Linked DNA regions of Cricetulus griseus. The protein of the gene in region 4 purifies or fractionates together with the protein of the main gene of each other region. This does not show direct contact. Links are inferred from orthologs where the notes say so. Each region holds a gene or a part of one and is shown on either strand. Other genes may lie near its edges. The genes, in order: Hmgxb4, Arid4b, Eed, Rbbp4, Sap130, Mtf2 and Nasp.

The links.
Region 1: the proteins of Rbbp4 (region 4) and Hmgxb4 purify together in Homo sapiens (affinity purification with mass spectrometry; 4 studies listed by BioGRID and IntAct, with this or other methods). This does not show direct contact. The link is inferred for Cricetulus griseus from reciprocal best matches to the Homo sapiens genes RBBP4 and HMGXB4.
Region 2: the proteins of Rbbp4 (region 4) and Arid4b purify together in Homo sapiens (affinity purification with mass spectrometry; 5 studies listed by BioGRID and IntAct, with this or other methods). This does not show direct contact. The link is inferred for Cricetulus griseus from reciprocal best matches to the Homo sapiens genes RBBP4 and ARID4B.
Region 3: the proteins of Rbbp4 (region 4) and Eed purify together in Homo sapiens (affinity purification with mass spectrometry; 10 studies listed by BioGRID and IntAct, with this or other methods). This does not show direct contact. The link is inferred for Cricetulus griseus from reciprocal best matches to the Homo sapiens genes RBBP4 and EED.
Region 5: the proteins of Rbbp4 (region 4) and Sap130 purify together in Homo sapiens (co-immunoprecipitation; 3 studies listed by BioGRID and IntAct, with this or other methods). This does not show direct contact. The link is inferred for Cricetulus griseus from reciprocal best matches to the Homo sapiens genes RBBP4 and SAP130.
Region 6: the proteins of Rbbp4 (region 4) and Mtf2 purify together in Homo sapiens (affinity purification with mass spectrometry; 4 studies listed by BioGRID and IntAct, with this or other methods). This does not show direct contact. The link is inferred for Cricetulus griseus from reciprocal best matches to the Homo sapiens genes RBBP4 and MTF2.
Region 7: the proteins of Rbbp4 (region 4) and Nasp purify together in Homo sapiens (co-immunoprecipitation; 4 studies listed by BioGRID and IntAct, counting the BioPlex papers as one, with this or other methods). This does not show direct contact. The link is inferred for Cricetulus griseus from reciprocal best matches to the Homo sapiens genes RBBP4 and NASP.

The regions. Positions count from the first base shown.
Region 1 is NC_048596.1:150,764,666-150,768,799, reverse strand, and holds part of Hmgxb4 (HMG domain-containing protein 4), read right to left. Parts: intron 1,411-4,134; 5' UTR 1,338-1,410; coding exon 1,307-1,337; intron 715-1,306; coding exon 566-714; intron 465-565; coding exon 386-464; intron 279-385; exon of another isoform or gene 164-278; intron 1-163. UniProt on the Homo sapiens protein: Negatively regulates Wnt/beta-catenin signaling during development.
Region 2 is NC_048596.1:237,301,938-237,306,071, forward strand, and holds part of Arid4b (AT-rich interactive domain-containing protein 4B), read left to right. Parts: intron 1-116; coding exon 117-201; intron 202-2,736; coding exon 2,737-2,935; intron 2,936-4,134. UniProt on the Homo sapiens protein: Acts as a transcriptional repressor. May function in the assembly and/or enzymatic activity of the Sin3A corepressor complex or in mediating interactions between the complex and other regulatory complexes.
Region 3 is NC_048596.1:109,136,266-109,140,399, forward strand, and holds part of Eed (polycomb protein EED), read left to right. Parts: intron 1-1,030; coding exon 1,031-1,183; intron 1,184-2,857; coding exon 2,858-2,950; intron 2,951-3,627; coding exon 3,628-3,693; intron 3,694-4,134. UniProt on the Homo sapiens protein: Polycomb group (PcG) protein. Component of the PRC2/EED-EZH2 complex, which methylates 'Lys-9' and 'Lys-27' of histone H3, leading to transcriptional repression of the affected target gene.
Region 4 is NC_048595.1:23,704,326-23,708,459, reverse strand, and holds part of Rbbp4 (histone-binding protein RBBP4), read right to left. Parts: intron 1,165-4,134; coding exon 1,019-1,164; intron 1-1,018. UniProt on the Homo sapiens protein: Core histone-binding subunit that may target chromatin assembly factors, chromatin remodeling factors and histone deacetylases to their histone substrates in a manner that is regulated by nucleosomal DNA.
Region 5 is NC_048595.1:205,692,165-205,696,298, reverse strand, and holds part of Sap130 (histone deacetylase complex subunit SAP130), read left to right. Parts: intron 1-17; coding exon 18-142; intron 143-1,681; coding exon 1,682-1,806; intron 1,807-4,134. UniProt on the Homo sapiens protein: Acts as a transcriptional repressor. May function in the assembly and/or enzymatic activity of the mSin3A corepressor complex or in mediating interactions between the complex and other regulatory complexes.
Region 6 is NC_048600.1:2,837,474-2,841,607, reverse strand, and holds part of Mtf2 (metal-response element-binding transcription factor 2), read right to left. Parts: intron 1,141-4,134; coding exon 942-1,140; intron 828-941; coding exon 746-827; exon of another isoform or gene 742-745; intron 1-741. UniProt on the Homo sapiens protein: Polycomb group (PcG) protein that specifically binds histone H3 trimethylated at 'Lys-36' (H3K36me3) and recruits the PRC2 complex, thus enhancing PRC2 H3K27me3 methylation activity.
Region 7 is NC_048595.1:35,762,778-35,767,685, reverse strand, and holds the start of Nasp (nuclear autoantigenic sperm protein), read right to left. Parts: upstream 2,911-4,908; 5' UTR 2,788-2,910; intron 2,437-2,787; exon of another isoform or gene 2,363-2,436; 5' UTR 2,324-2,362; coding exon 2,265-2,323; intron 1-2,264. UniProt on the Homo sapiens protein: Component of the histone chaperone network. Binds and stabilizes histone H3-H4 not bound to chromatin to maintain a soluble reservoir and modulate degradation by chaperone-mediated autophagy.

The DNA.
Region 1 (4,134 bases), on a different chromosome or scaffold from region 4:
CATGTAGAGCATAGCTAAGAAAACAGGTTTTGTGAGTGGATATATGCTGGCTGAGAAATGCCCCACAGATATGCAGAGGGCCCAAGGACTGCATCTGGCAAAGGGATGCTAAGTAACAATGGCACAGATAAGTGGATGATTCAGGGAGGAAGGAACCTGGTACCTTGTGTATCACAAATGAAGACTGTTCTTCTATGCTGAATCCTCCAAAATACCAGCCCTCCACCTCTCTCCTCCTTCACACTGGTTTATCGGCACTCAGAACAAGAACCACTGTCCTGTTAAATAGGCCACTGAGTCAGCAATATCTGGGATCCCTTCCCATACCCCGACTCCAAGAACCAGAGATGTGCACATCCCACCTGCAGCCCGCTCCCATTCTCACCTCCATAACAGTAATCATCAGGGCAGTGCTTCCTCTTCTTCTTGTGTGTGTCCGTCCCCAGGAAGAACAACTCACTGTCCTGTGGTTAGAGAGGGAGAATTGGCCAGCAATAAGATGATGAGGTAACGGTTTGGGGCTGCTCTCCTGGGATCCTGGCTTTGAAAGACATCTGGAACTGACCTTTGACTTCTTCTTGGAGGAACTCCTGACCTGTGCAGCAACTTCTTCCTCTTCCCTTAAGAAATCTTTGTAAGACCGCTTCTTTTCTCGTTGGCTTCGACCAGCTGCAAGTCCTATGTCTTCAAAGCTGTGATCACCATCAAAGCAATCTGGGAAGCACAAATTCATTTAGGGATGGAAATGACTAAAGTACATAAGCAACAAGTAAACACAACAGTCCCATTTCCAAGTTAAAGTTACACTCAGTGAGTCCTCTGAAATGCAGGGCTAAACTCAGAGGGCCAAGACGACTTCTGATGACCCGGCTTCAAACACAAGACTCAAACCCGAAAACACAATGCTTCCATGCTATGCAAATGCCCAATGTGCATCCTCAGATATGGTTTCTTAGTAGTGAGTGATTTAGCAGGTAGACACAGACTTGCGAGGGAAGGCTGGAAAGTGTAAGAATTCATGTGCTGTGCTGTGGGAGTCCAATGTGAGAGAGGTTCCTAGTCCCAGACTCATGCACACTGGAGCTGGCAAGGACTAAGAGTGCTGTGGGGATCACCCCAATAAACTAAAAGATTCTTATTTCAGACTCTGGTGTAGGAACCCCTGTCCTGGTTTTCATTTCCATGGGCCCAGTCTGGGAATGATGGAGCATCACTTGGTCTAGGCTGTGGTACCCAGTCTTGGTCTCTACATCCAGGGACTGCAGAGGTTATGCCCTTTGGGATGCTTCTGAGTAAGGGGTCATACCTTCTTTCTTCATGGAGTCATCATAAGCCATGGTGGTCCTGCAGGGCCTTTGTGAATGTGTTGGGTCACTGTGTCCAGGCTCCTTCCCGTCTACAGGACCAGGTCTGAGAAACAAAGAAGGAAAACCTTCCTGTAATGTGAAATCACTGTGGAGAAGCAACCTTCCAGGTGGAAATTCCAAGTAATCCAAGGGCTGACTGGAAGGAACACAGGAGTATCTTGTCACCTCCTCAGTCCGTGCATATACTGGAGTTGACCTTGCAGGGAGACTGCTAAGCTTAACTGGATTTAATTCATGTATTAAAAGTTGACACTTGAAGAATTATAGAAAACACTTCTTAGATTTAAAAAAACTTCCAAAATTAATGAGAATTTCTGGAATGCCAACAGGACTAATGACACTGAGACAGGGTAGAAACTGACGTTAAGTCAGAGGCATGGGTTCAACCATGGTCACAGGATACACAGATAAAGCCAGATGCAGAGGAGGACAGAGTACACCAAATACCGGAAGACCACAAAATCCTACTGAAGAGACTGGTGAGCCAATAGAATTTGCTGTGTCATAACTTAAACAGTACCTATACAGATATTAATAATTTTAAAGCCTTGCATTCTGCTGGGCTTTATGAACTTGTTCAAGCTCACTAAAATGGACATGGGCATACTTCTCAAATTTGTTGGCTATATGAAAACTTCCAACACTAACAAGCCTTTTTAAAAGAAATGCCATTTATCCACTGATGATGAAATTATGTTAAGATTTTTCACTAATTTATAAGTAATATAATTTAAAAGTTCTAAGTACTGGGTTTTGTTTTTTGACACAGGGTCTCCCTGTGTAGCCCTGGCTGGCCTAGAACTCACTATATAGACCAGACAGGTCTGGAATTTATAGAGATCCACCTGCCTTTGCCTCCTGAGCGCTGGGATTAAAGGCAGGTGTCATGTTATATAGTTCTAAGTATTGTAGAACCAAAGTAGTGGTTCTTTGTTGGGTTTTCTTTCTTTTTTTCTTTCTTTCTTTCTTTCTTTCTTTCTTTCTTTCTTTCTTTCTTTCTTTCTTCCTTCCTTCCTTCCCTTCCTTCTTCCTTTCTTTACTTTCTTTTTTTGTTTTGTTTGTGTAGACGGGGCTTTTCTGTGTAACGGTCCTGGCTGTCCTAGAACTTGCTTTATAGACCAGGCTGGGCGAGAACTCAGAGATCTGCCTGCCTCTGTCTCCTGAGTGCTGGGATCCTTAACCTATGGGTTGTGACCCCTTTGAGGGTCACACAACTTTTACAAGGGTCATATAAGACCATCGGAAAACACAACCATTTACATTAGGATTCATTTCAGTAGCAAAATTAGTTATGAAGTAGCAACAAAACTAATTTTATAGTTATAAAGTTATTTTACTACCACATGAGGAACTGTCAAAGCATTAGGAAGGTTGAAAATCACTGCTATAAAGCATTTTGGGGCATTCAAGTTCAGGTGTCCATAGTGACTTTGAAGGTGACAGAGTTACATACTGCACTGTAAAGTAAAATTCTTAAATTACCCTAAGGACAGAAAGTCTTTGAAGAATTTTTCTTCTTCTTTTGTTTGTTTGTTTGAGACAGGATTTCACTATGTAGCTATGGTTGGCTCAGAACTCACTTCTTTGCAGAATATTTAAAATAACTATTTTGAAAATGTTTTCATTTAGTTAGTCAAATGCTTAGAATTACTCATTATTTAAGATTACACATTTCTAAGTCCTGCAGATAGGTATGGAGAAAATGAAATATATTTGGGGGTGGGGGGCCCCTGGGTTAACAGGGGAAAGTTTTAAAATTTAAAATTTAAAAATTTAACAGTTCAAAATTTTTAGTGAGGCATGGTGGTGAATGCCTTTAATCCCAGCACTCTGGAGGCAAAGTTTGGTTGTTCTCTGTAAATTCCAGGCCAGTCTGGTCTACATGACCCAGGACAACCAGGGCTCCAAAGTGAGAACACCATCTCAAAAACAACAACAAAAAAGACTTTTTTGTTGTTGTTTAAAAGCCACATAAATATAGTGCACAGGTAGGCCAAAGCTGAAAACACAAAAAAAAGCAATGCCAAGGTTTCTAAGTCTAATAAATACAAAACACAAAATGAAGAATGAATTTGCTTCAGGTAAGGGAAGCCAGAGTGAAGTAAATAAACAACATGAAGTGGATTATTTAAAGAGAGCTGGCACACAACTTGCTCAAAGGGCCTTCTCATGCAATAAAGGGTGAGGATGTAGGGAGAGACCTCATGTAGAATGTTAGGATGTGTGTGTGTGTGTGTGTGTGTGTGTGTGTGTGTGTGTGTGTGTGTGTGTGTGTGTATGTATGTATGTATGTATCATGTCATCAGTTTTTCCTGTTTCAGCCTTAAATTACTATATTTCTTAATTAGAAACTGTTCTTCACTTCCTACCCAGTGGTGCTGACTTAAAGGGGAGTGAAGGTGGATCACTGGGAATGATATTTTCACCAGGTCATGCATGATTTTAATTCCAGCACTCAAGAAGGGAGAGGCAAGTGGATCTCTGCATTTGTGGCTAGCCTGGTCAACATAGTGAGTTCCAGGGCAGCCAGGGCTATTTAGGGAGACCCTGTCTCAAACAAATGAACAATGGCAACCTTTTCACTAGTAAAAAATGATGAGCTTATTTAGAAAGCCATACTGATCAACTTTGGCTTTCACAGGCTGATTCCAAGTAGAATAGCTTTAATTGTAGTTTCAGGCTTTTCACACCAGATACATTTTGGCATAAAATTCCTGAGAAATAATGCTCCCCACCCACAAACCAACAACACTCTTATTTAACCTTA
Region 2 (4,134 bases), on a different chromosome or scaffold from region 4:
AGCCTTTGAAATTGTAAGATGTTGGGACTCAATATTTGAGCTTTCTATTTGAATATAGCATAGTTCCTTCTGAGACATGTAGCTTACATATTTATGCTCATTTCTTTTCATTTTAGATATGATGAATGGATTAAAGCAGATAAAATAGTCAGACCTGCTGACAAAAATGTACCAAAGATAAAACATCGGAAGAAAATAAAGGTAAGCCTTGATTTTACCATGCACCATTAGCTGTTAAGTGCATTTTCCTTCAAAAAAAAAAAAAAAAAAAAAAAAAAAAAAAAAGGCCAATTAAATGCATGTGCTACTCCTGATGTTATCTTCTCTTGAAACGCACTTTTACCAGATGTTAGATTTTGCTCTAATTTTGTCACCTGGTGAAAAGGTTTTAGGAACAGTGCTAACTGATATTGGAGGCCTTTTCATTCTCAACATTGTATAAAACTGTATGACAAAATTTATCCATTTAAACCTTTCCTGTCTCTTGTAGTTCCCAACTAGGAGCCATCATGCATTGCAGGTAGGGGATGTGAGTTGTAAGTAGATGTAAGGTGAGGAGAGGAGATGTCTAAAGATAGAGGAGAGTATCTCTTCATCTATATCTGACTGGCTACTGGGTCAGAATGTTTTCAGCACCCTCTTCACCACACACTGCATAGCTACTATAGTATCTATGTTCTCATATGTGAAACTGTACTACTAACATGATAGGATTATTACTAATTATGAGATAAATATTTTAAATATTTTATTAAAAAACCCGGCCATTAACATCTTTTTCTTTTTGTTTTTTGGTTTTTCGAGACAGGGTTTCTCTGTATTGTTTTGGAGTCTGTCTTGGAACTTGCTCTGTAGACCAGGCTGGCCTTGAACTCACAGAGATCTGCCTGCCTCTGCCTCTGGAGTGCTGAGATTAAAGGCGTGCGCCACCAACGCCCCGCAAAATTTTAATCTTTTTAAGAAGGTTTTTTATACTTTGTGTGTAGTTCACATGCTTAGTAGTGGTTCTGAAGTCTTCTTAGTCCAATGAAACATTGTTATGTTCCTGTTTAGAGACCCCTTGTGGTCTCAGATGCTGAATTTATTTATCTTGTTGGCAATCCTTTTATCACTGTAAACTTGAGTCTAAGTTTCTAGTACAGTACTCCAGTACCTAAAGCTCAGGATTTCTTAAACCCTTTACATTTTTTGTTGGTCCTTATTGGAAAGTATGTAAATTATGCTATATTTAGCATTGTTTTTAGTAACTGGAAGAACATTTGCTAAATGTTTGTTAAAAATTCATGTCTTTGTACAAAGCAAGCTTTGGAATAGCATTGCTGAGTAGATGAGTCAGAGAAACAATGTTTGGGTCATGCACATGAAATGTTCTATGAATGTCTGTCTCTGTCCACTGCTTGGTACTAAACTAAACATGTTAAAATTCTTGGTCATAAGGAAAGAGGCTTGAGAACTATAAGTTTTTTAAAGTTTTATTATGCATTACTCTTTGGTATTGCCCCTCCCTCCCTCCCTCCTTCCCTCCTTCCCTCCTTCTCTCCTTCCCTCCTTCCCTCCTTCCTTCTCCCTCCCTCCCTTCCTCCCTCCCTCCCTCCTCCCTCCCTCCCAGTTTTCTTTAAGAGCCCTTGTTGGAGAAACTCATTTGACAGCCACTAAAAAATATATTTGAACTTAGACTGAAGTGAATTGTTTCAGCCTTTGGTGCACATGGTACATTGTGATTTCTGAGATCAAGTCATGAAATGCTGAAATGATGGGAGTAACAGTAGACATAGGCTGTGGTAGTCTACCTGCCCTTTTAAAGATGTTCTATAAGTTAGGCCCAGTCCCTTGATCCTTATTATTGAAACATGTACCAGATAACATGGAGAACACATTAAAACAGGCTGTCTGGTTCCATTGTCAGCATTTTGATTCATCTTGTTTTTAGGGGTCTGCTTTTCTAGCAAGTTCTCAGAAATTGCTGGCTAAGGACCCCACTTGGAGAACAGCCGCTACCCAAATTTTAACTGTTACATGTAAGGGAGTATTTTTCCCATGTACTATCTTTTAGAGACTTGTGAAAATAATCACTCATGTTTTCAGTCTGTCTATGTAATAGGACTTAAGAATTTTTGTTGCTAAGTCATACTGTGAAGAGCCTAAATTGCAAAACAACAAAAAACATTGCTTATAGGAATTACCTTAGCCTTGACTCATTTGTTTGTTAACTGAGCGTGAGAAAAGTATCAGCCTTTGAGTGAGGTAGGAAGGCTGCCTCTGAGCTCACTTCACAGCCTGTCAATGCATGTAATTTCTCCTGTAAATTTCAAAGTACAGAACTTGGCTATTGTACTTTACAGTGAGAATGTTCAATTTTAATATGAGTGTTGAAATTGAGTGTTTAATTTTATAAATATTAAATTTGGATCTATTATTTAATTTTCAAGAATTTGTAGCAGTTATTAGCAATACTCAGTTCCTACTCTTAGTCATCTTTTCTGTTTGATCCCTACTGCTAGACTGTAAATACAGAACAATTTTTTCATCTCAGTGTTTTCATGAATAACCTAAAATAAACCTGATTATTTTGAAGTTTTTCTTTTTGCATTTTCTGGTATTCTTTCTCAGTTAAACATTTAATAATATTAATAATAATAATAGGCATTTGATGTTTCTTTAAAATAGAATGAATATTGTTACTAATAAGTTGTTCATAATACATTATAGCTAATATCTAATGCTTTACTTACCTAGAATAAATTAGACAAAGAAAAAGACAAAGATGAAAAATACTCTCCAAAGAACTGTAAACTTCGACGTTTGTCAAAACCACCGTTTCAGTCAAATCCATCTCCTGAGATGGTTTCAAAACTAGACCTTGCTGATGCCAAAAACTCCGATACAGCTCATATTAAATCTATAGAAATTACTTCCATTCTTAATGGACTACAAGGTAAATATAACTGTTGCATGCAAGTATTTGATTTTAATTTCTATAAATATTTAAATGAATTTAAATGTGGTTGTGCATGACTGTAATTCCAGTACTCAGAGCTGAGGCAGGGGGATTGAGAGTTGAGGCTAACCTGAGTAATAAATCAAGAGAGTGTCTCAAAAAAATCCACGTATTCCTACCTCCTGCCACCCAGAAAAAATTCCAAAAGTTAAATTCTATAAAAGTAGTTCAGGTTGGTTTTTTGACCAGAATTTGCTGTGTGTGTTATTAGTTGGGCACCTCCAGTGTTGGGTTTCTCTACTTCTTGTCAAACACTGTCCTTTGTGATGCTGTCTAAAACATAGTTGTGCTGTGTATTAAGACTGTAAAGCAATTCTGAAAGTTATTTGTGAAGAACTCATCTGCTTGTTTGTTCTTTTTATGATGCTGTTATGGTAGCACACATGGTAATAGTGAAGCAAATAGTAACAGAGAACTGGGCTGGAGAGATGACTTTGTAGTTAAAAGCACTTGTTGCTCTGGCATAGTCCTGAGTTCAATCTCCAGCCCCCACATGACACCTCATTAACCATCTAGCTCCAGAGTGGAGGGGATCTGACACCCTCTTCTGAACTCCACGGGCATCAGGCAAACGTTTGGTGTGTGTACACACACATACATCCAGGCTAAACATTCATCCATATAAAATACTAAATAAACTATATCTAAAAAGCTTTGAGAATTGGAGATTATTAAATCTGGCATGAAAATGTATTGGAACAGGGATCTGATCTACAAAGTAAATTAATTCCTTTCCCTAAAAATATTTTAAACTGCTCATAACTTAAGTTTTGGTTTTTATTACTTTTGACTATAATAGAAATTAGATTTTCTCCTTTATTTCAGAAGACTGTATATGGATTCATTATATAAGCCTGCTACTATATACTATTCTAAAGTTTGCCTTAAAAGTTTTCTAATGTATCTGACATGTAGACTACTATATGAAAAAATATAGTTTAAAGAACAAGAATTAGACAACTTTAGTCACGAGCAGGTAGCAGTTAATTAGGTGTGCCTCCTCAGGAGTTATTACTACCTTAACTTTATGTAACATTTTTTTAAAAAGTAGGATTTAATTATTTATGAGTATACTCCTAAATAAGATATTGTTTATTTTAAAAACAATAGTGAACATTTAATGTAAGCCTCAATTT
Region 3 (4,134 bases), on a different chromosome or scaffold from region 4:
TAAAACCTTAAGAACTAATGTTTTTAAGTGAAGTAGTGTTTTAAAATACCCTTTGACACTTCATTTTTAACTTTTTATAAATGGAACAATCTTTAGTAAGCTTTACCCTAGAAATAGATTGTATACAAATGCAGTGTAGACTTAGTGGACTTCAACCTCACAGCTGTTAGACACACTGACAAAAGGGTTCCTTTGGAGGATTTCTGGATTACTGCCCCAGGGTAATAGGTGGGGATCTTTGTATTCCAGAGAAGACTTAAGTATGGGTTCTGAACTGAAGATAAGTTAGAAGAATTTTCTGTATTTCCTGAAACCTTATCTATGTTTAAACAGATTACCGTGTACAGAGTTTAGATATGCGCATAGTAGTATTCAAACTGAATCAAATTGCATTTACACATAGTATGGACTAGGTGGGACTTCTTTAAAATTCTAAATCTGTTGTGTTATAAATAAATAGAATTTGCATGACAGATTTTGTTTTTCAAAACGGCATCTAAAATAGTAAGCATTAGCATCCCTGCCCCAAAAGGCCATGTGTCTACACTCATTCTTCCACTTTCGAGGTAGTCAATTAAATTTTGAAGGTAACCAGATTTATTGGATTTATTCTGTTATTTTATGTGCTAGTGAAGTATTGGATCCTAGTAACTGTACCAGCAAGAGGACAGTTTTACTCAACATTTCCTTGTCTGGTAGTGGCTTTTCCACAGAGCTGTGTAAGAGTGAATGATGAATTATATTAGTGTCACTGGTATAGGCCAGTGTCTTATTTAAAGCCCAAATTACTCTTTCATTATCTTTCTTAGTACCTTGTTTTTACTTTCACTGCAGTATAAAATATCCACAAGTGGTCTAATGCATAACTGGGTTTTACTTCTTAAAATCCCCAGCTGCAGGAGTATGTGTCCCATTTTTTGCATGCTTTTAAGTTAGTCATTATCTTTTTAGTAGTACAGTCAGTTACTTTTAAATACTGTGTGCATCTATATCTGTCTGATGAAGTTGTTCCTGATTTTACTGGTTGCAGGATGATGCTGTCAGTATCGAGAGTGGCACAAACACAGAACGCCCTGATACGCCTACAAATACACCGAATGCACCGGGAAGGAAAAGCTGGGGGAAGGGAAAATGGAAGTCAAAGAAATGCAAATATTCTTTCAAATGTGTGAACAGCCTCAAGGTTTGTACCTAAAGCACTAGGCTTCGAACTTCTAAGGGACATACAGAATACCCTAAGGTTTAAAATATTTTAAAATTACAGTATTTTAAAGGTTTGTTTAAACTGGATATTACAATCTATCATACATTTAGTCATTTGAGCTTTATTTATTGTGTGCTTCACTTTAAATGTGTAATACTGAGTTGTAGGCTGGTGTTACTACCTCCCCCCACCCCCCCTGTTATATAGTCCTAGCTATTCTGGAACTGGAACTCTCTGTAGACCAGGCTGGCCTTGAACTCAGAGATTAAAGATTTGGGCCACCACTGCCATGCAAGCCTGGATTTTTAAGAGATAAGAAAATGAAAGCTAGAAGACTTTAAAAGTGGGGGGAAAGTACTTTCACGGGAACTTGAAAGTCAGTGTTAAACACAAGGAGATTGCAACAAGGCTCTAAGTCTGAACTGCAACTTGGAAAACAAAAGTGAACAACCCTGTACTGTGCTTGTCTACTATGCAGTTTAAGTCCTGGTTTTAGTACAAGCACTAAAAATAAAACAAAAGAAACAAAAGTATCTTACAGATTGCTTTCCCTTTGTGTATCTGAAGGCATAGTTCATTCCCTCCCTGAGTCCTCACTGTTCAGTCTTGAGAGGATGACACTTTCCTATGATCCAAATCCAAGGTGGAGTTTTTTATGTTGTTTTCTTTTGAGACAAGCCTTCTGTGTAGCTCTGACTGTCCTGGAATTCTGTAGACCAGGCTGACCTCCAACTTAGAGATGCACCTGCCTCTACCTCCCGAGTGCTGGGAGGGATTAAAGGTGTATGTCACCACTGCCTGGTATGAATCTAAAGTTATTTAAAGATTTCACAAGATAATGTAAATGTGTTTGTATAGGACTAATAAGAGTAGTGGCTCGGATGGAGGGTGATATGTCCCACTTTCCAAGGGAAAAGTTAATTCTAATAAAATCCAAAGCCAGTTGTTTGTTATATGAGAGAAATAACCGTGTCCTCTGGGCTCAAGAGCTTAAAGTGTATCTACCAAAAGTTCTCAATTTATTATGATTCAGAAAGATGGTTGGATTTAAAAACAGGCAGAAACCAGGGTTCCCAGGATACCTATCTGTTTCCTAACTTATGGTGTGCATCTTTGTTAGGAAACATTCACATATTTTTAAGATGTGGACACTTGTGTAGTGTCTTCATTTTAATGTCATAAGTAGCATGTGCATGATATATGTCTTAGTTTTGTATTGCTGTGAAGAGACATCATGACACCTTGTTTTTAAAAAAAAGCATTTAATTGGGACTTGCTTACAGTTTCAGAGGTTTAGTCCATTATTGTTATGTCTGGATACATGGTGGCATGCAGGCAGACCTGGTGCTGGAGAGGTAGCTGAGAGTTCTGCATCTGGATTCACTGGGAGGAGCAAGAACACTGGGCCTGGCATGAGCTTTTGAAACCTCAGGGCCCACCCCCTCCAGTGTCTTACTGCCTCTAAAAAGCCAAACCCCTAATCCTTTCAAATAGTGCTATTCGCTAAGCATTCAAATATATGACCCTATAGGTTTATTCTTATTCAAACTACCACCGTATATAAGAAGTGGACTTAATTTGGGGAGGGGAAAGTAAAAGTTGGCTAATGTTTTTGAAAATATGTTAAAGTTTTCTTATTTCATGATTTTCTAGGAAGATCATAACCAGCCATTGTTTGGAGTTCAGTTTAACTGGCACAGTAAGGAAGGAGATCCTCTGGTGTTTGCAACTGTGGGAAGCAACAGAGTGAGTGTTAGGGGGGCAGGTTGGCAATTGTGATTATTTCGCATGTTACAATTAAAATATTGAAATGGAGTGATTTTAAAGTAAATTCTGAATAGCTGGCTTACCAGTATAATTCTTTTGTGTAAGAGTGAAGCTTTTGAGGAATGGTCAGGGTTAAGACTAATACGACTAGAAAATACATTTTTATTTACATTTGTTATGAAGCAGGCTTTGAATCGCAAGAAGAATTGACTTATATTTACCATTCAAATATGAAAGCTGTACTTTTATTTTTAAAGTTTCATTTTATGTGTGTCAGTAGGCTGCCTGCATGTTTATCTGTGCTCTGTGTGCATGCATTGCTAGGGGTAATCATTTCATGGTACTGAAGATGTTTTGTTACAAATTTAATTAAAGAAGAATAAACCGTAATTATTTTAAAGTTTTAACTTTACTCACTTTGGAAAAGTTCTGATTATATGGATGAAATGTATATTTAAATGTTTGGAAATAGAAACTACTATTGCCAGGCTAGTATCACATAGAAGGTGTGAGGATTTATAATGGTTTGGATAAGCTTACAGAGCTGCTGCAAGCAGTTTTTGTAATGTCACTAAGTTGTAATTTTGGCTAGAATGTTTTAAGAGTCAGAGAATGTTTCTTTCTCTGAAATGATATGCATATTTTTGTTTCTTTAGGTTACCTTATATGAGTGCCATTCACAAGGGGAAATCCGGTTATTGCAGTCCTATGTAGATGCTGATGTATCCTTCTCTCGCTGCTTTTGTATGGTTTAAAACATTGAGTTTGATAAGTACACTAAAACTTTTTTTTTTCCCGAGACGGGGTTTCCTCTGTGTAGCTCTGTAGACCGGGCTTGCCTCAAACTACAAATATACTGTCCTATCTTTCTTTAGCTAGGAATATTATCATTGTTACCCAAGGGGATCAATCCTAGTATCTCATGTACCTGATCTTGAATTTGTCATGAGGTGAATGTGATGGTGGGTACAAGACGAGTGGAGTTGGGACCATTAGAAATCCATGGTAGAAATTGTCAGCAGGGACCAGCTAAGCCTAGAATTTTACAATTTCAGTGTAGTGTTTTTTTTTTTGTTTTGTTTTTTTTAAGATTTATTTTATTATTGTATATAGAGTTTTTTGCTTGCATGTCTGCCTGCAGGCCAGAAGAGGGCACCAGATCT
Region 4 (4,134 bases):
GTAAATAGCACACACACAACTGTTATCCTAGCCAGTAGCTGGATCCCAAATAAACTTAAACATGAAGAGTTATTTCTGCTAATATCCAGAAACATTAAAAACTGAATATAAGGAGCACAAATGTTAATAAAAGAAGCCCATTTTTTTTTTTTTTTTTTTTTGCTGTTTTGTCTGAGACAGGGTTTTATTCAAGGAAACTCCCCTACTGACCCCCCCCCTTTTGACGTTTTGGTATGAAGGCCATAAAGAAAATTTACCGATTGCTATCTGAAAAAAGGAATTCATGAACAGCTACTCTTATGGCATCTTCTAAGAATTAGGTTGTTGAAATCTTTTATGAATATAATGGGTACTATGTCATTTCTTGTATCTTAAACCTTTAAGAAAGTTTTAAGACTTTCTGCCCCTTTATCCCCAATGAAACTGCAGTAGTACAGATACACTGAAAGCTCTGGGGACCATGCAGACTATGGTTTCTATTTTGAATTAGGGAAATCACTAACTAGCCCCAAATTGGCGGGTAACTTGTGATCCTCCTTGAGATGGCTCAGCAATTTAGAGCACCTGTCTGCTCTTGCAGAGGACCCAGGTTCAATTCTTGGTGGCTCACAAATGCTTATAACTCCATCTGCAGAGGATCCAACACCCTTTTCTGGCCTATGTGGGCATCAGACACACAAGGTGTGCACATACATACACGCAGGCAAAACACCAACCCATACCCATGAATTAATTTCTGTCTCTTTGGGTCAATGTTGCTCCTGTTGAGAATACACACCAAAAAAAATATGGTAGATCTTTACTACATTAACTGCAGAAATCTCACCATGACCAGTATAGTAGAGACAGCTTACAGCAAAAGCACAGAACCGAGTTTTGTGTTGATGACTCTTGATTGCAAACTAGCTTTCCCAATAACTTAAACCTAAGAGGCTACCCCCGCCCAATTATGTACCTCCTCGATGACAATTCAGACAGGAAACATATAATCCACAGACCATTACTTCTTTTATCCTACCTCCTTTCTCACTGTCATAGTGAGATGCGTCAAACTGAGCATCATCGTTCGGAAGCTGGACACTGGCTATCACCAGGTGGTTTTGTTCATCTGACGTATGTGTTCCCAGGACAAGCCGGTGAATGCTGAAGTCTTTTCCTTCAGGCCTGTAATAACAGATGGTCACTATTCAAGTTGGCAACCCAAGATAACATAAAGTCAGCAACATACACATGACAAACAAAAAACCCCAAGCAGTTCAATTGAGATAGTGAGAACTAGTTCCTACTTTAAAAAACAAAACCCAGCCCCCCGTGCTTAAATAGACATACATATAAATGGATACTGGAGAACAATAAAGTGTCACTCACTCTTAAGATTCTGTTCATGGCCGGTTGTGGTGGAGCAGGCTTTTAATCCCAGAACTCAGGAGGCAGGAGTTTCTACATGAGTTCTAGGACAGCCAGGGCTATTACACAGAGAAACCCTTTCTCGAAAAAGCAAAATCAAAAAAGAGGCTATTCACCTCCATTAATATAAGGCTTGCTTTATTGGCCTGGAGCTCAGCAACTAAGTAAGCATGGCTGGTTGTTGAGCCTGAGAGATCATCCTATTTCCTATATCCCCATCACTGAGGCTTCAAGCATATACCACCCTGTTTTTTTTCTTGTCTGTCTTGTTTTGTGGTGTTGTGGATTGACTACATGTTCCTATTTACTGAGTCATTACTAAAGTCCCTGTTTTCTTTAAAAAACAAAAAACACACAATCAAAAAGATGGTTCAGTAATTAACAGTGCTTGCTGCTCTTACAGAGGACTTGAATTCAGTTCCTAGCTCCTATGCTAAGTGACCCACAACCACCTGAAATTCTAGCTCCAGGAGACCCTGAACACTCACACTTCATAAAACAAATGAAGACTTTTGTGGATCTGTTCTCTTTCCATCACATGGATCCAGGTGACCAGACTCAAGTTGTCAAGCTTGGCAATAGGCACTTTTACCCACCTAGTCAACTTGCTAGCCTCTATTCCCTACCCCTCCGTTTTTCGAGGAAGGGTCTCTCTGTGGCTTTAGAGTCTGTCCTGGAACTAGCTCTTGTAGACTAGGCTGGTCTCGAACTCACAGAGATCCGCCTGCCTCTGCCTCCCAAGTGCTGGGACTAAAGGCATGTGCCACCACTGCCTGGCTTATTTCCTACTTTTAATGACCCTCTATTAAGGCCAGACAGGGCACAAGCACAGAACTTAATTTTTATTTAACATGGCCAAAAATTTAAAACACGATAGAGAATTTTTTCTCCCAGTTTATTGAAATAAAGTGAGTTAACAATGGGTGAGAAGAAAACAATTGCCTGATATTTTTGTTTTTATCAAGAACTTTGGGGCATAAAACCCAATAGTAGAGTTTGTGCCTGGTCATGTGCAAGAGTTCTTATATCCCCTAAAAGAAAAATATTAGGTAGGTGGTGGTGGCACCCACCTTTGATACCAGCATTTGGGAGGCAGAGGCAGAGGCAGGTGGATCTCTGCAAGTTAAGACAGCCTGGTCTACAGAGCTAGCTACTGAATACACTGCCTCAAACATTTTGGAAGTAGGGATGATTCTTGTTTTTGTAGTTCCCCCTAGAACCTTGCAGGGGGCACAGAGAAGCATTATGAGAACCAGGAATGTTACTCTCACAGGGGTGTCTCCTCAATGGAGGAGATACAAATTCAATACTTGCGTCCAGAAAGCTGAGAGTGGAGGTTAATGACACAATGACCCTTTTGCTATCTGTAGGGACAGATCTCACCCTAAATCCCCAAATGATTATTCCAGACTCTTTCCCCCCCAGACCCATCCTACAGGTCACCAGTATTTTATGGCCTGCTGACCTCTATGCTATCGGTCAGAGACCACACTAGATTCCAGGTCTTTTTGTTTAGCTTCATGTTCACATGTACTTTGTAAAGAATTTCTATGAAGTTACATTTTATGCTTTATTGTGCACATGTAATTGGACTGATTGTTGCCTGGAAACTTTCCCCCAATTGTATTGTTTTAAATATGGTGATAATGAACTGCCTGGCAATCGACTCCTTGAAGTCTTATCCAGGTTGGCAAGTCAACCTGCAGTTTTCATTCTTATCTCTGCTGGGTTCACTTCCCTGCCAGGATACCTGCAGGGACCCCCTCAGAATCTAGAGTTGGGTTTCTCTTTCTTTCCTCCCAGTATGTACGTATGTGTGCTTGTAAACAGAAGCCACAACTTGACAATGGGTCTCTTGACCTCTTTCCTCTAGACAGACCGAAGACAAACCTACCTTGAACCCAGAACTCACTGGCTTTGCTAGCATAGCTAGTTTATTTCAGTGACCGCCTCTGCCTCTGCCTCCCGGAATTACAGGTGTGCTGCCATGGCCACCTGGCATTATATACCAGTGCTGAGGTTTGAAATGTGGTCCTTATAATCGCTTCATTTACTGTAACACCTGCCCAAACTAATGCTTTACACATGCAGGTAAGCACCTACAGCTGGGCTACATACATTCCTACCAGAAAATACTGAGATCACACATGATTCCCTGGGGCTAGAGATGGCCCAGCACTTAAGAATACTGGCTGCTGTTTCAGAGAGCCCTGGTTCAATTCTCAGTGCCCACACGGAGGCACAACTGTCTGTAATCCAGACCCAGGGGGACCCAATGCTATCTTCTGGCTTCAGTAAACCCATGCACACTGCACATACACGAACAGACAAAATATGCACACACATAAATTCAAAACAAATTAAGGAAAAAACAAACAAAACAACAACAAAAACAAACAAACAGACACAACTCCTTAAAAAGCCAAGAGCAGGTGATGGAGCAAAAGAGCACTTGCTGCTCTTGCAGAGGACCTGGGTTCAGTTTCCAGCACCCACATGATGGCACACAACTGTCTGGAAATGGAGCTCCAGTGTATCTGACACCCTCTTCTTCTGGTCTCCCCAGGCACCAGGTACAGAAAATAAACAAAAACCCTGTGCTGGTCATGGTTAGTCTTTCTGCGAAGGTGACACACACCTGAATCAACCGAAGAATTACCTCCATCAGACCGGCCTGTAGGCAACTCTGTGGGTATTTTATTGATTACTGACTTATGTAGGACCTAG
Region 5 (4,134 bases), about 180 Mb from region 4:
TTTTTTTTTCCTTTCAGGTGCAGCAGCTGCTGCTGTGATGTCCAGCTCTAAAGTAACCACAGTCCTGAGGCCAACTTCACAGTTGCCAAATGCTGCTACAGCACAGCCAGCAGTACAGCACCTCATTCACCAGCCAATCCAGGCATGTTGGGGTCGGGGTACTTGGCCAGCATGGCTGTGGTGTTTTACCATTTACTCTGCCGGACACTGAGGGAGCCCATAACCCTATAACTGAGTTACTACTCAAGGCTTTGGAGAGTTTGAAGGATGCCTGAACAGTGCAGGGATAATAATAATTTGTTGGGAAAGTAGCAAGTGAGACAACAGGTGCTAGAAAAATAAAGACGGCCATGCACAGTAGCAAGGAAGACAGACAGTGGTGGCTATAGATAGTGTTTGGTGAGGGCTAGCTAAGATGGAGGATTGTTATTTGGAAAGAGCTCTGTGAACACCTCAAATTTTTATGTACATTTTATGCATATAAATGTATGCCTGTCGGGTTGTGGTGACGAATGCCTTTAGTCCCAGCACTCAGAAGGCAGAGGCAGGTGGATCTCTGTGAGTTCGAGGCCAGCCTGGTATAGAGAGAGAGCTCCAGGACAGCCAGAGTTACACAGAGAAACAGGAAGTGTAAAACAGTACTTTTTGAAGGATGGGCAGGATGTGGTGATTTAATTGCATCTATGAAAGTCAGGAAAAGGGGTGAATCAGGACTCAGGTGATAGGAATAGGTATAGTGGACAAATGATCGGTGCCATTTGGGGGGCTCCTTTTTCACGTTTTACACACAGATGTAGTAATAAAGGTTAGGACTAAATATTTGTATGAAAATGTAGAAAGCGCCTGAACACCTGACATTGCCCCCCTTTGAACACCTTGACTCTGGCCAGCATAGAAGTCTGTCATCCCCTTGCCCTTTGTATCCTAGTTTAGACTGAGAGCCAGCAACTCCAGCCAATAGCTTCATGGGCCCTCTGTGGAAAACACTTGGATATATGACATTTTGAATGTCCACTCTGCACCATAGTAAACCACGAGAATGCTGAGCAAAACAGTTAAATCCTAGTTTACACTAGGACAGTACTTTTACTATAGTTGTATTAAAAAGTCTTAGACTATCCAAACAAGATAGGAATTTTTGTTTATATTGGAACAGTCTCATTATGTACTCTTGGGTGGCCTCAATTCTTTACATAAAGCAGGCTGGCCTCAAACTCACAAAGATCCACCTGCCTCTGCTTTCTGAGTGCTGGGACTAAAGACTTGTACCACCACACCCAGTATGAAATAAGAATTTTCCCTACCTTTTTAGCAGTGCTGGGAATCGAACCCAGACCCTTGTATTTGCCTGTCTTCCACTCAGCTGCATGTGTCCTGCTCTGACATCTATTTCCCCCACCGCCACCCCCACCCCTTTGTTTCTTGGTATATGTGAGGTAGTGTAGGTAGCCCAGGCTTAGCTCACATTTTCTTGGGGGGGGGGCAGGTTGTGTGTGTGTGTAATTCTGACCTGTCTTATAACATACCTAGAAAAACCATTAGGGTGCTAAGGACTTGGTTCCATCTAGTCACAGACCTACTCATCTGGAGGCCTGAGTTTCAAAATGGAGTTTTAGTATTTGGTTTGGTGTTGTTACTTTGCTTTTTGCTTTAATTGAAGTATTTTTTCTCTCCCCTATAGTCTCGCCCACCTGTGACCACCTCCAGTACAATCCCTCCTGCTGTGGTAGCAACAGTCTCAGCCACCAGAGCTCAGTCTCCTGTCATCACTACGACAGCAGCACATGCTGCTGACTCAGCACTAAGGTATCCGGGCCATCCTGCTGTTTCCCTCTTTACCTCAAATGAGTTTTCTAAATTGTACTCTAGATCAGGGCTTCTTAAACTTTTATCATCCAAGAGATTTTCACATGACCCTGGATATATAGGTATATAAAATAAGTACAGAAACCAAACACTTACTAGTAATAAATCCTAACAAAATGTCTTTTAAGGTGCTAGAGAGATAGTTCAGCAGTTAAGAGTACTTGTTGCAAATGAATGAGTGAATGCTTGTTGTGCTTCAGAAGACCTTAGTATAGTTCCCAGTACCCACATTGGACAGCTCACAACCACCTCTAACTCCATCTCTCCAGAGCCTAGTGTATACACACACACAATAAATCTTTTCTCTTTTTTCTTTTCTTTTGGTTTTTTCGAGACAGGCCCTGGAACTCTGTTGACCAGGCTGGCCTTTAACTCATATAGATATGCCTGCCTTTGCCTCCTGAGTGCTAGGATTAAATGATGCATGTGCTGCCATCACCACCTGGCAATAAAAATAAATCTTAAAGACAAAAGTGAACTGATTTTACCATTTACTAAAGAATTGTGCTTGTTTATCTTTACATAAGGAATTACATCTTGGCCCAGCACATCTTTGACTGGCAGCATCTTCAGCATTTTACAGACTTGGTTGATACTTTGATTTTATAATTGTCAATGCTGAGAGTGCCACTTTATATAATATAAATATGCAGAATGACAGAAGTATATTTAGGGCCATTTGCAAAACTGTTGGAAATTCTATCCTAATCCCAAAATTTATGGCCATAATTCATTTTGGTTTTGGTTTTTAGATTTTTTTGTTTGTTTGTTTCATGGATATGAATGTTTATATGTGCACCATATGCGTACCTGATGTTTGCGGTGGTTAGAAGAGGGCATTAGATCTCCTGGAACCAGAGTTATGGATAGTTGTGAGGTACCATGAGGATCCTGGGAACTGAACCTTGGTCTTTTGCAAGAACAGGCAGAATTCTCAATGGCTGGGCTATCTTGCCAGCCCCTTTATTTGTTTTTAAATAACATATAAAGGCCGGGCGTTGGTGGCACACACCTTTAGTCCCAGCACTTGGGAGGCAGAGGCAGGTGGATCTCTGTGAGTTTGAGACCAGCCTGGTCTACAAGAGCTAGTTCCAGGACAGCCTCCAAAGCCACAGAGAAACCCTGTCTCGAAAAACCAAAAACCAAACAAACAAACAAACAAATAAATAACATATAAGGTAATAGCTTGTCTTATGGCTTTTCCCACACACAATTCATGTATATGTGCACACATGCACATTTGTGAATGAATGGGTGAGTATACACCGCAGCATATATAGAGATATTTTCTTCTCGGTATATACCAGACCAGCTGGCCCATGATCTTCTAGCAGTTCTGCTGTCTCTGTCTCCATCTCTGTAGAAGCACTGAGTTACAGATGGCCAGGCTACATCTGCTTTTTTGTGGGTTCTGGGGATTCAAACTCAGCTTCTCGTGCTTACACAACTTGTGCTTTTTCACAGAACTATCTCCCTAGCGCCTTAGTTTGGTTTTGATCTTCCTTATTCTTCTCCCCTGTCCTCCCTTCCTACTTACATCTTCTGTCCCTTTTAGTTTCCTTTCCACATTAAATCACGCCTATGCTATTATCCTTCCTCACTCTACTTTCAAGACCTATCATTCATTCATATATATATCAAGGATCTGTAATTGGGAATGTACTGTCATTTTGAGTGATCCATCTTGAATGGGAGAACAGAAGCAGTGGCCAAGAAAGTTACATAGAACACTGGGTCTTTTAGAAATTTCCTCTTACCTCAGTGTATTGCCTTGACTATAAAAAGAACAAATCACAAATGATTTGTTCCAATCAAAATTAAACTCAAATCAGACATGATGCCTCCCACCATGACCACAGCTCTTCCAAAGGACGGGAGTGGGATTATTATCATTATGCATGTCAGGTGGGTCACACCTGCTGTAACTCCACTGAACAATCAGACCACTCAGAATGGAAAAACGCCCCTCTCCTCTGGGGTGTAGCATGTTCCCTGTGGGACTCTACTAACCCATACTACAGTTCCTAGTTTAACCCTAAATCCTTTGCTTCTAACCCTTGGAACTAGTCCAGATCCTGTTTCACTGCTAACACTGATTTCACCAGCACAAAGCAGTCAGGAGGCTGAGGCAGGAGGATAGTAATTTCAAAGCTAGCTTGGGTTATATAACATGTTTTAAGCCAGCTGAGCTGCATAGTTAGACCCAATCTCAAACAAAAGAAATTTTATTTTCCTTTGCCACGGGGGGGGGGGGGGGTTGACCACTTT
Region 6 (4,134 bases), on a different chromosome or scaffold from region 4:
CATGGTCTTCCTTACTACAAATTAAAAGTTTTAGCTTTTTCATCTTAGTAATACCAAAATGTTAGGCAGGAGAGACAGCTCAGTGGTTAAGAACACTTGCTCTCAACCACAAGTATGAGTTCAGATCCCAGGAATCACAGGCATTCCCACAAATACTTGTAAGCCCAGCTGAGGGTGGTGTATGCAGAGACAGGAGAATCACTGGGGCTTGCTGACATCCAAACAACCTCTTCTGGACTCTGTGGGCACATGCACCCATGTTATACACACACACACACACACACTCTCTCAAATAAATAATAAATCTTAAAAATACCCATCAAATATTTGCTTCAGCTGGGCAGTGGTGGCGCACGCCTTTAATCCCAACACTCGGGAGGCAGAGGCAGGCGGATCTCTGAGAGTTCAAGGCCAGCCTGGTCTACAAAGCTACACAGAGAAACCCTGTCTCTCTGAAAAACAAAAACAACAACAACAAAAGGATTCAATTAAAGCTATAGAGCTTTGTTTATAAAACATGGAAAGCGGAATAATTCTGCATATTGACATGTTTAGACCTCTCCTCATACATGCTACTGAGTCACAGAAAGAGTGTATTCAATTTCTTTAGCACCAGAAAATGCCATGTTGAATAAAGTTAAATTTATTTACACGCACGCACGCACGCACGCACGCACGCACGCACGCACGCACGCACGCACGCACGCACGCGCACGCAATGTTCAAGAGAAACAGTAGCACCTGCCTGTTTGGATGTCCTTCCAGAGAACCCAGGATTTAGAACTGTCCTCAAATATGATGAAGCAGCTCTGTTTCAGTATGTTTATCTGCAATACAGAGAAAGAACTCAGTAATCTCTTAAAACTATAAGCACAAGATTAAATTTTAAATTACTAAAAAGTATATTGCAAATACAGCAGAGATCTATTACAGTAACTTGCCTTTTTGATAGTTCCAAGATAAAACAAGCCATCTGACCATCTAGCTAGGACATCCTGACCCTCTTCGAATTTACATGCTGGCTTTTTGGCTTTATGTCCATCCTGTAAAGACAGCTTGTTCAAGGATGCTGGGGTCTTTTGGTTTCGACGTAAAGGAGACCGCTTGTGGACCAGTGAGTTACCTGCTCCTGTAGAGTCTCTATTCAGAAAATAAAGGACCAAATATAAGACTTATAAGAGTTTATAACAATGACATATTTCATACACTAACCAAAACTTTTAGTATAAAACCTTTGAGAAAAACAAATAACTCAAATGACAAATGCATTCTAAACCAAAGAGCATTAATTCATAATATTTGCTCATTGCCAACCCTAAGTGAAGCCAGGATTCAGCAGTCATTTCACCTAAACATATTAGGGTGACTATCTCAAAAACAACAGCAGAAAACAGCTGGGTACGGTGGTATAAGCCTGTAATATCAACATTTGGGAGGCAGAGCACAAAAGTTCCAGGCTGGCATAGGTTACTTAGAAGTTCCAGGACAACTTGAGGTACATAGCTGGAACCCTGCCGGGCCTTGGTGACACACTCCTTTAATCCCAGCACTCGGGAGGCAGAGGCAGTTCTGGGGTAGATGACAATGCTCTCATTCATGGCAGGAGTGATCCCTCTGTGAGAATCACTACAGAACTGTTCTTGTTGGAAGAGGGGAGGATATACCAATCTAAATATACAGACTTAAAACAGTTTTGCTTTGTTTTGTTTTAGTCAGGCAATGGTGACACAGGCCTTTAATCCCAGCACTTAGGAGGCAGAGACAAGCAGATCTCTGAGTTTGGTGCCAGCCTGATCTACAGAGAGTTCCAGGAGAGCAAAGGCTACACAGGGAAACTCTGTCTCAAAAACTAATAGTAGTAGTAGTAGCAGCAGCAGCAGCAGCAGCAGCAGCAGCAGCAGCAGCAGCAGCAAAGAGTTCTTTTTAAAAAGCCGGGCAGTGGTGGTACATGCCTTTAATCCCAGCATTCTGGAGGCAGAGGCAGGCGGAGCTCTGAGTTCGAGGCCAGCCTGGTCTACAAGAACTAGTTCCAGGACAGCCTCCAAAGCTACACAGAGAAACCCTGCCTCGAAGAACAAAAACAAAAACAAAAAACAAAACAAATGTTCTTTTTAAAAAGTGACAACTGAATCAGTAACAAGCTCAGCAGATAGAGGCACTGGCCACCAAGCCAGATCACCCGAATGTGATGCCCAGGGTTCACATGGAAGGAAAAGAACAGACTCCTGCAAGTTGTTCTGACTTACACATGCATGCAATGGCACAAGCATACACAAAATGAGTATTATAATTCAAATAGGAAACTTGGGATGTCACAGAGTCATCATCAAGTGAAATGTATGAGATTTTACTTTTTAAGCAGTGATCCCAAATAATAACTACAAAATCATTGTAGCTTATGTATTAGTAATTCTGTGAACTGTATGACATACCATCAATTTTTATATATTTTGTGTGTATTTTGCCTGAATTTATGTCTGTGCACCACATGAGTGGCTGGTGACGGGAGACCAGGAGAGGATGTTGGAGCTCCTAGGACTAGCTGTAAGCCACTTTGTAGGTGCTAGGACTCAAACTGAAGTCCTCTGGAAGAGCAGCCAGAGCTCTTAATTGCTGAGTCTTGTCTCCAGCCCCAACATAAATTTTCTTAAAGGACAAAGTAGTGTTTGGCTTCAGTGTTCCAATTTAAATATTTTACTGGTTAACATACAAGGGTGTGTAAAACTATACAGACAATATGAGAGCATAAAACTTCAAGGAGGGAGGGAAGGAGGAAGCAAAAGTGGGGAAAGTCTCAGTAGCTAAGCACAAAGGAAAGTTATATTCAATGCCTAAAAATGACACAACTTCTGAGAATCATGCCCATGCTACAGCATGGGATTTTGAAGACATTACACTAAGTAAAACAATCCTGATAAACCAGACAAGCACTGTTTAATTCTGGTTGTATGAGTACATAAAACAGTGACTCTCATAACAAGTAGAATGGTGGTGGCTGTGGGTAGGAGGAAGGACCAAATGTTTATGGGTACAGAGTTTTGGTATGAAAGAAATACATTTTAAAGTTGATGAGAAAGACACACCTTTAATCCCATCAGAGACAGGAGGATCTCTGTGAATGTGAGGCCAGCCTGTTCTACAAAGTGAGTTCCAGGACAGTTAGGGTTATTACACAGAGTAACCCTGTCTTGAAAAACAAAAACAAGAAAACCAAAAGTTGTCCAAAAAGAATTAACAATGGATTATCTTCCTCCTAAATTGCTAGAAAGTGTTAATGTATACAAGAAACTCAAAACATACAAGTATAGTCATTGTAAAGAGTCACTAAAAAACGGAAAAGATAATCTTCAAACCAACAAAGAGAGCTGGAGATGTAGCTCAGTTGGTAGAGTGCTTGCCTAGCACAAACAAGGCCCTCAGTTCTATCCCCAACTCCATAAGACAAAAATAAAAGAAAGCTACGTGTAGGTATACACCTATAATCCCAGTACTGAGAGGGTGGAAGTTGGAAGATCAGAAGTTCAAGGTCACCTTCAACTACACAGGAAGTTTGAGGCCAGCCCAGGATATGTCTAAAGTTCTGGGATCTTGCATCCCTTATGTAACAGACCCAAACTTGAATAGCATAACTAAGTATGAAAAGTAAGTCAGCAGAATGTTCCCTAATTCTGGAATGGAAACCATACAATCCAAGTGGCAAACATTCCCAGACATCTTCATATGCTTTTCTACGATTTCAACACAACCTCTCCCTTTTTTGTGACTCTCCACTGTATTACTTCTCTTACAAAGCACACATTCTTAGATCAAAACATCAAACTTTATAATTTCTCATTTCCTAGTGTTTCTTCCCTTCTTCTGAAATTGCTGATGTACTTTATTTGGTAACAAGAACCCAACCCTAGTAATAGTTACACTTATCCTTTGACCTTATTTTTTCCTTCCTGTCCACAGTCAAATCTCTAGAAAAGCTATTAAGCCCAGCACATAGGAGGCAAAGCCAGGTTCATCTTTCTTTGAAAGCTCAAGGCCCTCTCTACATAGTGAGTTCCAGATCAGCTAGTGAGACCCTGTCTCAAAAGTGGGGCTGCAGAAAGAATGACACAAGATGGCTCATCTGGGAAGTGTTTCACC
Region 7 (4,908 bases), about 12 Mb from region 4:
CTTTACTTTTCTCAAAAACTCATTATACAATTTCCTGACAGACAAGATTTTTCATGGAAATTGAAGAAATGAAAACTCAAAATAATAATTTGACAATCTCTCCATTCTAAACTTGACTTTTCTGACGTGTAGAAAAATTTAAGACTTCACACTATAGTCATGTGAGTCAATAAGAATTTACTTAATGAGACTGAAGATGGATAGATGAGCAGTTAAGAGCCCTCGTTATATGCCTGTCGGTAGTGGTGCAAGTCTTTAATCCCAGCATGGGGAAGGCAAAGACAGATGAATCTCTGAGACCAGCCTGGTATGTACAACTTTATGCATGCCAGAAAAGGGCATCAAATCCCACTATGGCTGTGAGCCACCATGTGGTTGTTTGGAATTGAACTCAGGTCCTCTGGAAGAGTAGCCAGTGGTCTTAACTGCTAAGCCATCTCTCCAATCCCATAACATTTTTTTAATTGACTCAAAATAATAATAATAATAATAAAAACTATAGACAAAAAACAAAGCCGGTCTGTGGTGGTACAGGCCTTCCTTTAATCCCAGCACTTGGGAGGCAGAGGCTGGCAGATCTCAGAGTTCGAGGCCAAACTGGCAGAGGCAGGTGGATCTCAGTGAGTTTGAGGTCAGCCTGATCTACAAAGAGAATTCCAGGAGAGCTAGGACTGTTACACAGAGAAACCCTGTCTTGAAATAAATAAATTCTACAGATTTTCCTAACTCAAGCTACTCTGGCCCTAAGAAATCAATGAGGAGGCAGGAAATTGGTGATTTGAGAAACACTGCTTTTCAAGAATCCACTAGAAAAGGAACCAAAAGGTGACAGGTAAAGTATGCAAAGATACGTTAATATCTGGTACAACTGTACTAATTGAAAAGTCAACTAGTATGCCTAAACCTACAGCAAAAAAAAAAAAAAAAAAAAAACACTCAAAAACCCCACAGCCAACTTTACTTTTACCAGAGGAAAAACTTCTAAAATGTACAGGGACGGAAAAAAATATTAGCAGGCACAGGAAGATTTGGTGGACTTTGCAGAGCCCCCCGTTGAGGGCCCTACCCTGCCTGGGGAGTGGTGGGTGGATGGAGTGGGGGTAGGCTGGGGGTGGGGGAGGAGGGATGGGGTGAGGGGAGGGAGAGGGAGAGAGAGAAGGGATTTACATGTGAACAAGCTTGTTCCCTAACTAGAACTAATAAATAAATTAAAAAAAAAATATTAGCAGGCACCTAAAAGACAAGGGAAGATTGGAAAGTAGGACCTACTGTACGGAAAACTTGTTTCCTCCAAATGATGGGCCGTTTCTGTGCACTATCCAAAAAAGTAGCTCATGTTTGATTAGCACTGTGAAGCTCTCAAAGCAATTATTCCCTCTTGGGGGGGGGGGGGTCCTTTTATCTTAGCAGACTCATCTAGCAAGTACGGAATTCTCCGTGTAGCGTTTACCGAAGAAGCCATCAGTGTGAAAATGACCCCTGGAGCAACCAAATCTCCGACCCACACACGGAAAGTCTAAGGACACCCTGAGGGTTCTCAGCAAAAGCGGAGAGTCGCAGGGCTTCGGTCGCGTAACGACCCCGCGGGTTACAGTCAACTACACAGTCAACGAGATAAACTTCACTGCGCCCAGCGGCTGCCGCAGGAGCCGCTCCAAACCCCAAACAATGGAGTTTTCCCGCCTCCTCGAGGCCCCGCCCCCGTCTCCAGAGCCGGGACACGGAACGCACGCGTGCAAAGTCCCGCCCTCCTCGAGGCCCCGCCCACTCGGGTCCCTCAGGTCTGAGCCTCAATCCTCGTGTGTAGGTTTTTTTTTTTTTTTTTTTCTTTTGGCGCCAAATCTGTTGGTCGTTTTCTAGATTCCTCTACAGACTCTCCCGCTAGTGCGCCGAGAGTAAGAGCTCAAGAGGGGACCGGCGACGGGGGGGCCCCGCCTCCCCACCGGCGGCAGCCCCGGGCCGGGGGAGGAAGAAAAAGGGCAGGCGATGGAGACAGCCGCCGCTGCCCCCGGCAAGATGGCGGCCGCGGAAAGCCGGGCAGGGGGCGCCAGCCGCCCGCCGTTAGCGCCGGTCGCCAGCGCCGCCTGAGGGGGGGGCTTCTCCACAGCCCCGCTCCCTCCGGACAGCCGCAGTTCTCCAGGGAAAGGCAGCTGTCCCACCCCCCCGCCGGGCCCGCCGCCCGCCCGCCCTCCGGCCCGCGAAGCCAGTCCACAGCTCTCCCCACGGACTGGCCAGCGCCTCCCGCTCGCCACAGTCCGGCTTACTTGTCAGCGGAAGCCAGCTCTCCGGCGACGGCAGTAGTGGCTGTAGACTCTGTGGCCATCGTTCCCCTGACGCGGTGGGCCGGTGGGCAGAGCACTGCCTGTGGAGAGAACAGAGAATTCAGGACAGCAAAGACTTACTCAGGCACAGAAAATGGCAGATTGGAGACCCCGCGCGGTTGGGGCCCTCTTATATATCGGGGCCGCTTGCCCCGCCCATCCACTTCCGGATCCTCCCCCTTGGGTTTAAAGGGCCAGAACTCAACACCTCTCCGTCACAAGGACACCTCCCCGCAGCCCTTCCCGTTTGGGTATCTTCCCGCCCGGGCCCGCTTTTCCTTGGAAAGAAAAGAAAATCGAACAACAAAAGAACTTCCTGCTCCCGGTAGCTGGCCGTGTTAGAAGCACCAGAATCTTGGCACTACAACTTCTGATGGAGCCAGCCAGAGCCTCCACGTTAAGTGGAGCCAGTGAGTCTCTGCGGGCGTGGAAAGAGTAGCCGAGGGTTTCTTTCTGGCGGGGATACCCGAGAAGGTGACAGGTCTTCTGTATGCCCTCTCAGTCTTAACGGATGGAAACGCAAGAGCCGAGCACGAGTACAACAGCAACGGCTAGAACTGACCCGAGAGACTCGTGGCTCTGGGCCTCAGCAACTACTGACGAAAGAAGGTGCTGCTCTACGATTGGCTACAGATGAAACTATCGCGCTAGATTCAAAACTCAGAGGGGCAAAGGAGTAGGGATGTTTCCTCCTCTCTCTAGATCCACGCGCCTTTGGCTGGCCCAATCCAGTGACGCCCTCATCTGACACCCTACCCACATTCCAACACTGAGTTGTTGAGCTGAATCCCTGTACTTAAAACACTTTAAATTTTTTAGCTATCTTACTTCTATCTTTAGTACATATGAAAGGGACTCACACTATGTCCCTGGCTGGCCTCTAACTCACAGAGATTCGCCTCCCAAGTGCTGAAATTACAAGTGAGCTCCACCATACCCATCTTATTTTACAACTGTCAGTAACTCCGCTTCCAGGGTATCCAGTGTCGTCCTCTAACCTCCAGAAGCCCTAGGCACACACATGGTTCACGTATATGCATGCAAGTAAGCACTCACACATATAAAATAAAGTGGAATCTTTTAAAAATAACTTTTTTGGTGGGGCGTGGTGGCCTACGCTTTTAATCCCAGCACTCAGGAGACAGAGGCAGGTGGATCTCCCTGAGTTCAAGGCCAGCCTGATCTACCAAGCTAGACTCCGGACAACCAGAGTACACCGAGAAACCTTTTTTGTTTTTGTTTTTGAGGCAGGGTTTCTCTGTGGCTTTGGAGGCTGTCCTGGAACTAGCTCTTTTAGATCAAGCTGGCCTGTAACTCATAGAGATCTGCCTGCTTCTGCCTACCGAGTGCTGGGACTAAAGGCATGCACCACCACCACCCTGCAAGAAACCATTTCTTGAAAAACAAAACTAAATAATAATAATAAAAATAACTTGTTTAAAAGGTCAGGTGTGGTCACAAACACCTTTAGTCTCAACACTCTAGAGACATTCGGGATCTCTGAGTTCCAGGCAGTCTGATTTATATAGTGAATTCCAGGACAACCAAGAAACATAATGAGATCCTGTCTCAAATATTTTTAATTTTTAAAATTATGTACAGGAAGCCAGGCGTTGATGGCTCACAAAGATCTGCCTACCTATGCCTCCCAAGTGCTGAGATTAAAGATGTGCACCACCACTGACCAGCTTTTTAAATTTTTTTTAATGTTAAACAAGATAAGATATTTAAATCAGGAACCCTTATTGTTGTTTTGTTTCTTGAGACAGGGTTTCTCTGTGTAGACCTAGCTGTCCTAGAACTTGCTCTGTAGACCAGGCTGGCCTCAAATTCAGAGATCTGCCTGCCTCTGCCCCCTGAGCACTGGGATTTTGTTTGTTTTTTAGATAGTATCATATAGCTGATCCTAGCCTCCAGCTTTACATAGCCAAGGATGATCTTGCATTCCTGATCCTCCTGCCTCCACTTCACAAGTGCTACCTGAGTGTCACCACACCCGTTTCTGGGGGTTTTGAGACAGGGTTTGGCCGGGCGTTGGTGGCACACGCCTTTAATCCCAGCACTCGGGAGGCAGAGGCAGGTGGATCTCTGTGAGTTCGAGACCAGCCTGGTCTACAAGAGCGAGTTCCAGGACAGCCTCCAAAGCCACAGAGAAACCCTGTCTCGAAAAAAAAAAAGAGAGAGAGAGACAGGGTCTGACACAGCCAGAATGAGATAGAGTGAGACCCTGTCTCAAAAAGAAAACGAAGTTAAAACAAAGTCATAAGAATGTGTTTTAAACTGGGCGTTGGTGGCTCACGCCTTTAATCCCAGCACTTGGGAGGCAGAGGCAGACGGATCTCATTGAGTTCGAGGCCAGCCTGGTCTCGGGAAAAAAAAAAAAAAAAAAAAGTGTTTTAAATCCTGACTGGTGTGCTGTTAAGAAATTGGGTGTAGGGTTGGGTGTAGGGGCACATCTTTCTTTAATCCCAGTACTGGGGAGGCAGAGGCATGACTATCCCTGGGAGGATGAGGCCAACATGGTCTTCATATCAAGTTCCAGGATGGCCATAGCTATTGTAATGAAACCTTGTCTCAAATAGAAAGG